Ovis aries: one gene and its partner. The protein of the gene in region 1 purifies or fractionates together with the protein of each later gene. This does not show direct contact. Links are inferred from orthologs where the notes say so. Each region holds a gene or a part of one and is shown on either strand. Other genes may lie near its edges.

What was found. The genes of interacting proteins can lie anywhere in the genome.
Region 2: the proteins of RPS3 (region 1) and ASCC3 purify together in Homo sapiens (co-immunoprecipitation; 4 studies listed by BioGRID and IntAct, with this or other methods). This does not show direct contact. The link is inferred for Ovis aries from reciprocal best matches to the Homo sapiens genes RPS3 and ASCC3.

The regions. Positions count from the first base shown.
Region 1 is NC_056068.1:53,317,465-53,321,676, reverse strand, and holds the start of RPS3 (small ribosomal subunit protein uS3), read right to left. Parts: upstream 2,801-4,212; 5' UTR 2,771-2,800; coding exon 2,741-2,770; intron 2,199-2,740; exon of another isoform or gene 2,049-2,198; intron 1,904-2,048; coding exon 1,773-1,903; intron 1,502-1,772; coding exon 1,408-1,501; intron 527-1,407; coding exon 432-526; intron 1-431. UniProt on the Homo sapiens protein: Component of the small ribosomal subunit. The ribosome is a large ribonucleoprotein complex responsible for the synthesis of proteins in the cell. Has endonuclease activity and plays a role in repair of damaged DNA.
Region 2 is NC_056061.1:36,367,691-36,371,801, forward strand, and holds the start of ASCC3 (activating signal cointegrator 1 complex subunit 3), read left to right. Parts: upstream 1-1,311; 5' UTR 1,312-1,517; intron 1,518-4,111. UniProt on the Homo sapiens protein: ATPase involved both in DNA repair and rescue of stalled ribosomes. 3'-5' DNA helicase involved in repair of alkylated DNA: promotes DNA unwinding to generate single-stranded substrate needed for ALKBH3, enabling ALKBH3 to process alkylated N3-methylcytosine (3mC) within double-stranded regions.

The DNA of each region.
Region 1 (4,212 bases):
AAATCTTATCAGCAAGCCCAGCTCCGGGGCCAATCTAACCACCTCATGTCCTCTGTTCCTCACATCACTATCTATAAATACCTACTGGGCATACCTGACTAGATTTTAAGCTCTCTTCTCAGCAATGAGTCTTCTCTCTTGAATCCCCAGAGTTACCACCACACAATGTATGTGAATGACTTCAACATGAACCCAAACCATTCCCCACCCCCATCCTACATTCATACTCCCACCGTGCTCTACTAACACCACTCGCTTTTTTAAACACTTGTCTTTACTAGTCTTTCTAACTAGGCTGCAACATGGATTGACAATGTCTTATTGTTAAAGCCCTCAGAGACTAGCTGAGCCTGTCCAGAGTCCACTTACTAAATTAACAAAATAGCTGATATACTGATTCACGAAAGGACACAATTCATAAGGACTCTTACCTCCGCACAGCAAGGCCTCCTAGGAGCTTGTAACGCAGAGACTCTGCCTGGGCAATGGCACACAGTCCTCTTGTGGCTACCTTTTCAGCATAAAGCTTTAAAGAAAACAAGGCACATTCTTAAACTTGTTACACTCATCACCACCGTTTTCAACTAAAAATCAGCACATTCATGATTCAAGCAGACACCCCTCTATGTATCACTCTATTTGTTCTCATTTAGTGGATGAGTGTGCAACCCCATTGGCTACAGCCCACCAGGGTCCTCTTCTTCTCCAGGCAAGAATACTGGTGAAGGTTACCATGCCCTCCTCCAGATCTTCCTGACTCAGGGACTGAACCCGCGTCTCCTACATTGGCACGCAGATTCCTTACCAGTAAGCCACCTGGGAAGCCCTTCACTGTACTACCCAAGTATTAAAGCACTTCTAATGCCCACATCTAACAAACACTCAGGGACGCAGACTGAACTGAACCATTCCTCATTTTTCTCCCACCCCCACCTCTTTCCACAGCCAAATCATGGAGATCAATGGGCAGCCAACCTCTCCTATGTATCATTACTAATTCCAAGATAGGTATAAACTGCTGCCAACTGCTTATTAAAAGACCTTCAACAAAATACCAATCCATTTGTAATACTCACTGATCACAAGTAAGCTTTCAGGGTGATAATATGAGTTTTCAGAAGTACCATCCTAAAGAGGGCTTCCCTGGTGGCTCAGATGGTAAAGAATCCGCCTGCAATGTGGGGAGACCTGGGTTCAATCGCTTGGTTGGGAAGATCCCCTGGAGGAGGGCATGGCAACCAGCTCCAGAATTCTTGCCTGGAAGACTCCCCATGGACAGAGAAGCCTTGGGGCCATGGGGGTCACAAAGAGTTGGACACGACTGAGCGACAAAGCACAGCACAGCACCATCCTGAAGAGCCATTTCTAGCTCCAGAGTAGCCTCTGGCACAAGCCAGGATCACTCACCTCTACACTGCCTTCAGGGAAGCCGAATCTCTTCTGAACCACAGCAGTCAATTCCCGGATCCGCCGGCCCTTCTCACCAAGTACATTCTGTGTCCTGGGGAAAATGAAGAGTGACAATTCACAGCTCTCATAACATTACAGATGTAATTTTAAACCTTGCACACGTGTGGTAGTAAAAATCTAATTCATCTGACACAAGAAAGCATAAATTTTGGATGACAAGAACTAAGAGATTATCTTTTTTTTAAATGCAGCTTAAAAACTCATTCACGATGACTCAACTGTTGTTCTGCTACGTTTACAGAAGAAATCACCTTAGTGCAGACAACAATTACAGGTGATGGCCAGAAAAATGAATTTTTCACCTGGTGGCCAAGATGATGATCTCTGTCCTGGTTGGTGTAACTCGGACCTCAACTCCAGAGTACCCATCTTCGGCCAGCTCCCGAGTGAGAAACTCGTTCAGTTCAGCTTTGAAGATGCCATCAGCGACAAACTAACCAAAAGCAAAATGAAAATGAGGATCTGGACATGGGCTCAGGTTTCTAGCCCAGTCAATGCAACCCTAATCAAGATTCAACACCTCCAACCAACGACCCATCATTAATTATTTTGCCTTGTTCCAGAGAAAACATAGCAACCCTTCTCAGACAAATGCCTCTAAGTCATCTTTTGGAAGTTAACTTTGACCCAGGCCCTTAAAACTGTGCCACAGAACGCGGCACAGGGTAGGGGTCACCTGGACAAAGAGAACACCTCCAGTCAGACTCGTCATCTCCTCTTCATTGAAGGGTTTTAAATAATCAAACCGTTTCCCCCAGGTCCCTTCCCTCTATTTCCCCAGAACGTTTCCTTGACCCCAAGATAGAACAAGAAATTGTCAGTAACCTTCCAAACTGAGGTCCTTGGGGTCAGAAGCCTGCACCCAGACAAGCCTAGGAAGAAGGCAAGCGAACACTGCTACCTCCCTTTCTCAAAGCTACCATTCGATGAGGGAAAGGCTCATGCATTCAAAACATCACATTTAGTAACTTTACTAACTACTGACTAAGAAAGGCTCACAAGCGCTCCTCCACGGCAGGAGGAGCCCTCAGTGCTCATCTCTGCTCTCCGCCCGGAACCGGCAGAAATCCTTCTCTCCTATCCCAGCCATACCGTTCTCAGCAGCCACGGGCCTGCGCTCAATCCACCGCCATCCGCAGCCCACGGGAAAGCGACACAGTCCGGCCGCTGCCCCGGGCATAGCGAAGAGCTATAAGTCTCGCAATAGCACCCAGAAAGGCTCCTGACCCGCGAAACGCCACTTCCCTGCAACCGGGCCCCGGGATCTCACCTTCCTCTTTTTGGAAATTTGCACGGCCATCTTGCCGACGCGAGCCGCCGAAAGGAAAGGAAGTGGCAAGCGGGCGGAAGTGCGTATAAAGGGCGCTGTGCGACGACAAAGAACTGCGCGACGTCGACGCCTGTGAGCGCTCATGGGAAGTGTAGTTTTCACTTTGGTAAAAGGAAAGAGAAAAGCGCGGTCCAAGGGTTGATGCTTTTGAACTGTGAGGTGTTGGGGAAGAAAGGAAATCAATCCTCAGTATTCATTGGAAGGACTGATGCTGAAGCTGAAGCTCCAATACTTTGGCCATCTGATGCAAAGAGCTGACTCATTGGAAAAGACCCTGATACTGCCTTCAGAAAGACTAAAGTCAGGAGGAGAAGGGCAGGACACAAAGGATGAGACAGTTGGATGGCATCACCGACTCAATGGACATGAGTTTGAGCAAGCTCCGGGAGATGGCGATGGACAGGGAAACCCGGCGTGCTGCAGCCCATGGGGTCGCAAAGAGTTGGACACAACTGAGCGACTGAACAACAACAATATCCAGAAACCTGGGCTTTCCAGGTGGCACTAGCGGTAAAGAACCCGCCTGCAAATGGAGGAGAGAGAGTGGTGAGGGGTCGATCATAGGGATGAGGGGTCGATCTCCAGGTCAGGAAGATCCACTGGAGGAGGGCATGGCAACCCACTCCAGTTTTCTTGCCTGGAGAATCCCATAGACAGAGGAGCCAATATCTCAATCAGAGCTTTAAAAATTCAGGGAAGTTTAGAGTCCAGTTCTCATCAGTTTAATTAGAGCCCAGTTCTCATCAGTTTAAAACCAAGTATAAACACACACTTATCTGCTAACTTTATTCTTTAATGAAAAAAAGTAAAAGCACTTTTGGGCTGAAAGCCCTCAGAGAAATTCACTGAGGCACCTATCTCTTCCAATTTGTGTCCACTTCCTCTGTTGCAAACTGATAATATATATATAATATGTATTAAATATTCTAAGGACTGTTTTAGGACTTTATATTATTAATTCATTACCTCTACCTCACGTTCATAAAGTATGTTACAGCTTGTAACAGAAGTTACGATAATGGCTCGCAATTCTTTTTCAATTAAAAAAAATCTCCCCTCGCAGATTTTATTACAAAAAATTTCAAACATACAGAAAAGTTGGAAGAACTATACAGTGTACACCTATATATGCATCCCTTAGGTGCTGCAATTAACATTTTTTTCTGTATTTGCTTTATCAGATATTTATCCTTGCCTCTATCCACCCAACAGTGCATCTTTTGATACATTTCAAAGTTACTTTCAGGCATCAGGACACTTCACGCCTTAAATTTTCCCAACAGTTTTTTTTTTTTTTTTTTTCCAGTTTTACTGAGAAATAATTGACATACATCAATGTATAAGTTTAAGGCATACAACATAATGGCTTGATTCACATATCATGAAATGATTACCACAAGAGATTCAGTTAA
Region 2 (4,111 bases), on another chromosome or scaffold:
GGCGACATTAAATAGTCGGACACGACTAAGCTACTGAACTGACCTGAACTGTACACACATACTTGAAGTTAGTTTTTCTTAAGCTCTTCCTGATTTGCAACGGAGCCAGGTAATCTCCAGGCGTTTTGTTTTTGGTGGGGTTTGTCAGACAAAAGGACCAACTAGAAGACATACCTTTGAGGAAACTAAATTGAGAAGCAGAAAGCTTAAGGAAGGAGGAACTTGAGAGCAAGGAATCATGCATAAAGTGACCAGTGGCCAGGGTTTCTGGCTGGCGATGACAATGGCAATTAACTTGGTTCTTTGCTCATACTCAGGGCTCCTCTCTCATTTATTTGTAATAAGCATTACTTCCTCCACGTCTTCGTCGGACACAACTGAGCGACTGAACTGAGCCTCCAGGTCTTGGCCTTAGAAATGGGCGAGGAGAAGATAAGGCCGATCCAACTATAATAACTGCAGAAAAAAGACGCTCAGGCAATTTGGAGGTGGCAAGAGCGGCATGGTGACGGTAACCTGCTGCTGCTGCTAAGTCGCTTCAGTCGTGTCCGACTCTGTGTGACCCTATAGACGGCAGTCCACCAGGCTACCCCGTCCCTGGGATTCTCCAGGCAAGAACAATGGAGTGGGTGGCCATTTCCTTCTCCAATGCATGAAAGTGAAAGTGAAGTCGCTCAGTCGTGTCCGACTCTTAGCGACCCCATGGACTGCAGCCTACCATGCTCCTCCGTCCATGGGATTTTCCAGGCAAGAGTAGTGGAGTGGGTTGCCATTGAACTGCTGCTGCTACTGCTGCTAAGTCACTTCGGTCGTGTCCGACTCTGTGCGACCCCATAGACGGCAGCCCACCAGGCTCCCCCGTCCCTGGATTCTCCAGGCAAGAACACTGGAGTGGGTTGCCATTTCCTTCTCCAATGCACGAAAGTGAAAAGTGAAAGTGAAGTCGCTCAGTCGTGTCCGACTCTTCGCGACCCCAAGGACTGCAGCCCACCAGGCGCCTCCGCCCAAGGGATTTTCCAGGCAAGAGTACTGGAGTGGGGCGCCATTGATTTCTCCTGCCATTGACCTACACACCCGGAATCCCAGGATCGCGCGCACGCGCGCCCGCCCGAGAGCCCGCCCCCGCAGCTGGCCGGGTCCCGATCCGAGCTCCGGCAGGAGGCGGGGCGGCGGCGCGCGCTCGCGGGCGGGGTGGAACCGAAGGAGCCGACGTGCGACGTTGGCGCCGCTGCGGGCGGGTGACGTGTAGGCCCGCGCCTGCTCCGCCCCCTCCCTGCTTGCCGGGTCTGTGAGTCTGTGCCGCGGTCGAGCAGTCTTCGTGGACCCTGCCCCAGGACTGGGAGGGATCCGGCTAGGCCCGCGTGGGGTGCGGACGAGGACGCGGCGGGGAAGTTGTCCTCTGGCCTTCTCTGCCCTGCCCTCCGTCCCCCTCCCGGCGTGGGAAGTAAAGATCAAACCGAAAGGGAGGGAAGCCGGAGCTGGCGGAGTGATGGGGAGCGCTTGAAGCGGGGCCGAAGGTGAGGAGGGGGACGTGGGAGGAGAAGGGCAGCCTGCGGCCCGGGGAAGCCGGCGGGAGGCGGGGCCAAGGGCGCCCCAGGTGCGCTTGTCTGTCGGTACCGGAGGCGAGCCCGGACCTGTCATTCCTCTCTGGGCCTGAGACTTTTCCGTGGTCTACGATAGTCTCGTCCTGCTCATGAAATTTGTAGGGTGGGGGGTGGGGATCAAAACATGGACACAGCCACATGTTGCCAAGGGGTTAAGGCCACAAGGTGATGACCAGATGCGTGCTTTTTTCCCCTGTGCGTGAGTAGTTTGTTTTCATTAATTTTCTTTGTTTCTTTACAAAAATGTAATAACTTTCATTTTCTTCACGTGGACTTTGGAGAGAAATCAACTTCCCAGTATTTTTTACTTTAACACTGAACAGTAAATAAACTGGATAGGGAGTGGACCATGGTGAATTGTGGGTGAATTTAGCAATCGAGGAATCTAGAATGTTATTTTGAAGAAAGTTTGTTGTATGTGCGAGCATGCTGCGATGTCGTGGGTACGTGGGCAGTTTTTTTTATTTTAAATAGGCTTCTTATCACACACTAACTTGTTCACTGATTGCAGTGTGCTCATGTATTTTGCTCTTTGGTTTAAAAGAAACGTCATTTTAGCGGTAGCTAAAAGTTTAATACGAATGGCATCACATGTGCAGTTCAAACTAGTAATCATATTTTCTTTCTTTCACTAAGTAAAATTAGACTTTGAGTAGCTGTTATCTCCATCACCACATTTCATGTTTCATAGACTGAAATCATCTTTCCGACTTTTCAAAATGTTCTTAAAAAAAAAAAAAAGTTCTTAAAAGTTGAGGATTCAGCTTTTGATTCCAGTCTGGATTGTGCTCCTGTTCATATATCTTTTATTTTTAATGGTGGTTATAATAATATTCTTGCATAAGAAAAATGCTCCTTAGAGATGCCAGTTAAGTGTAAGCTAATATTAGAGTGACTTGGGGCTTCCCTGGTGGCTCAGGCGGTAAAGCATCTGCCTGCAATGTGAGAGACCTGGGTTCGATCCCTGCGTTGGGAAGATCCCCTGGAGAATGAAATGGCAACCCACTCCAGTACTCTTGCCTGGAAAATTCCATGGATGGAGGAGCCTGGTGGCCTGGTGGGCTACAGTCCATGGGGTGGCAAAGAGTCGGACACAACTAAGCAACTTCACTTTTTTCTTTCTTTAATTTTTCATGGCTTCTCATTGTGATCCCTGCTGTATAGTTTTAGTTTTCTTTCATTCATCATTCACTTATTTATGTCTTTCTATGTGCCAGGCACTATGCTAGGCCTAGGCAGTCAAGAGAGACAGGATGTCTGTACTTAGGAAACTTTGTAGAGTTCTGCCTCCTTCTAATAGAGAATCTTGATTAGGGTTCCTCCTCATGCCACGGATATCTAGTTGACAAAAGCAAGGCTTTTTGCAAGAAAAAGTTACTGTCAGTGTTTATATATAAAGTGGCATTGAAAAGAGGAGCAGATCATTTTACTTGAACAGCATGACTTGTTTTGTTTTTGATCAAAAAGATAATATGCATGCCTGTGTTTTGCTGGTTAAGAGGAGTAAGTTTTCTTTTGGACAAGTTGGCTTAGTTATATAATTAAGAATTAGAAGTCAGTTTCTACCTGAAAAATAATACATAAACATTAAAAATGTTTTTAAAATAATTTTTCCAGTTTCTATGTTGGTCTGTTGGTCTATGTCTTAATAACTTGTAATTCATTAGAGTAATTCATAGTAGTTCTATGCACAGAGCATTTTCATCAGAAATATGTATAATACTTGTTGGCTGAAGTGAATTTATTGTCCAATAATACCTTCCATGGGGAAGTAGTTAACATAAGCCCTTTTAGTACAGAATAGTCTCGAGGTGTTGTTTTTGTTCAGTCACTAAGTTGTTTACCATTCTTTTGTGACCCCGTGGACTGCAGCATGTCAGACTTCCCTGTCTTGATGTAATGTGGCACAGTTTTCAACTTTGAACAGATGTCTACCCGAAACTGAAATTTTAGCAAACACATTTATGGAAAGAAAAAGTACTTAATTACCAAGGAGGAGAGAATAAACTATTTGTGTTTGCTCAGTTGTGTTCTACTCTTTGTGACCCCCATGCAATGTTGTCTACCAGGCTCCTGTGTCCATGGAATTTTCTAGGCAAGAATACTGGAGTAGGTTGCCATTTCTTTCACCAGGGGATCTTCCCTACCCAGGGATTGAACCCGTGTCTTCTGTATTGGCAGGCAGATTCTCTACCATTGAGCTACCTGGGAGTATGTGTTTAATAATTATCCAAAGGCAGACTTTATGTGTCTTATCTCCTACATTATACTCTAAAGTTACTTAAAATAGTTACTTATTTCTTTTGCCTGGTGTAATATCTGGCACATGGTTGACAGACCCATGTAAATGTTCATTCATTCAGTATGTACCGTCTCATTTGAGTATTTTGTGGTTAGAGGAGCAAATGAATATTTTTGAGTGAGTTTGTCTACTGTTTGTTCATTTTCCTGCTTGTGCTGGCTTATAATAATGTCTTATAGACATTTATATTTCTGAAACTCTCTGT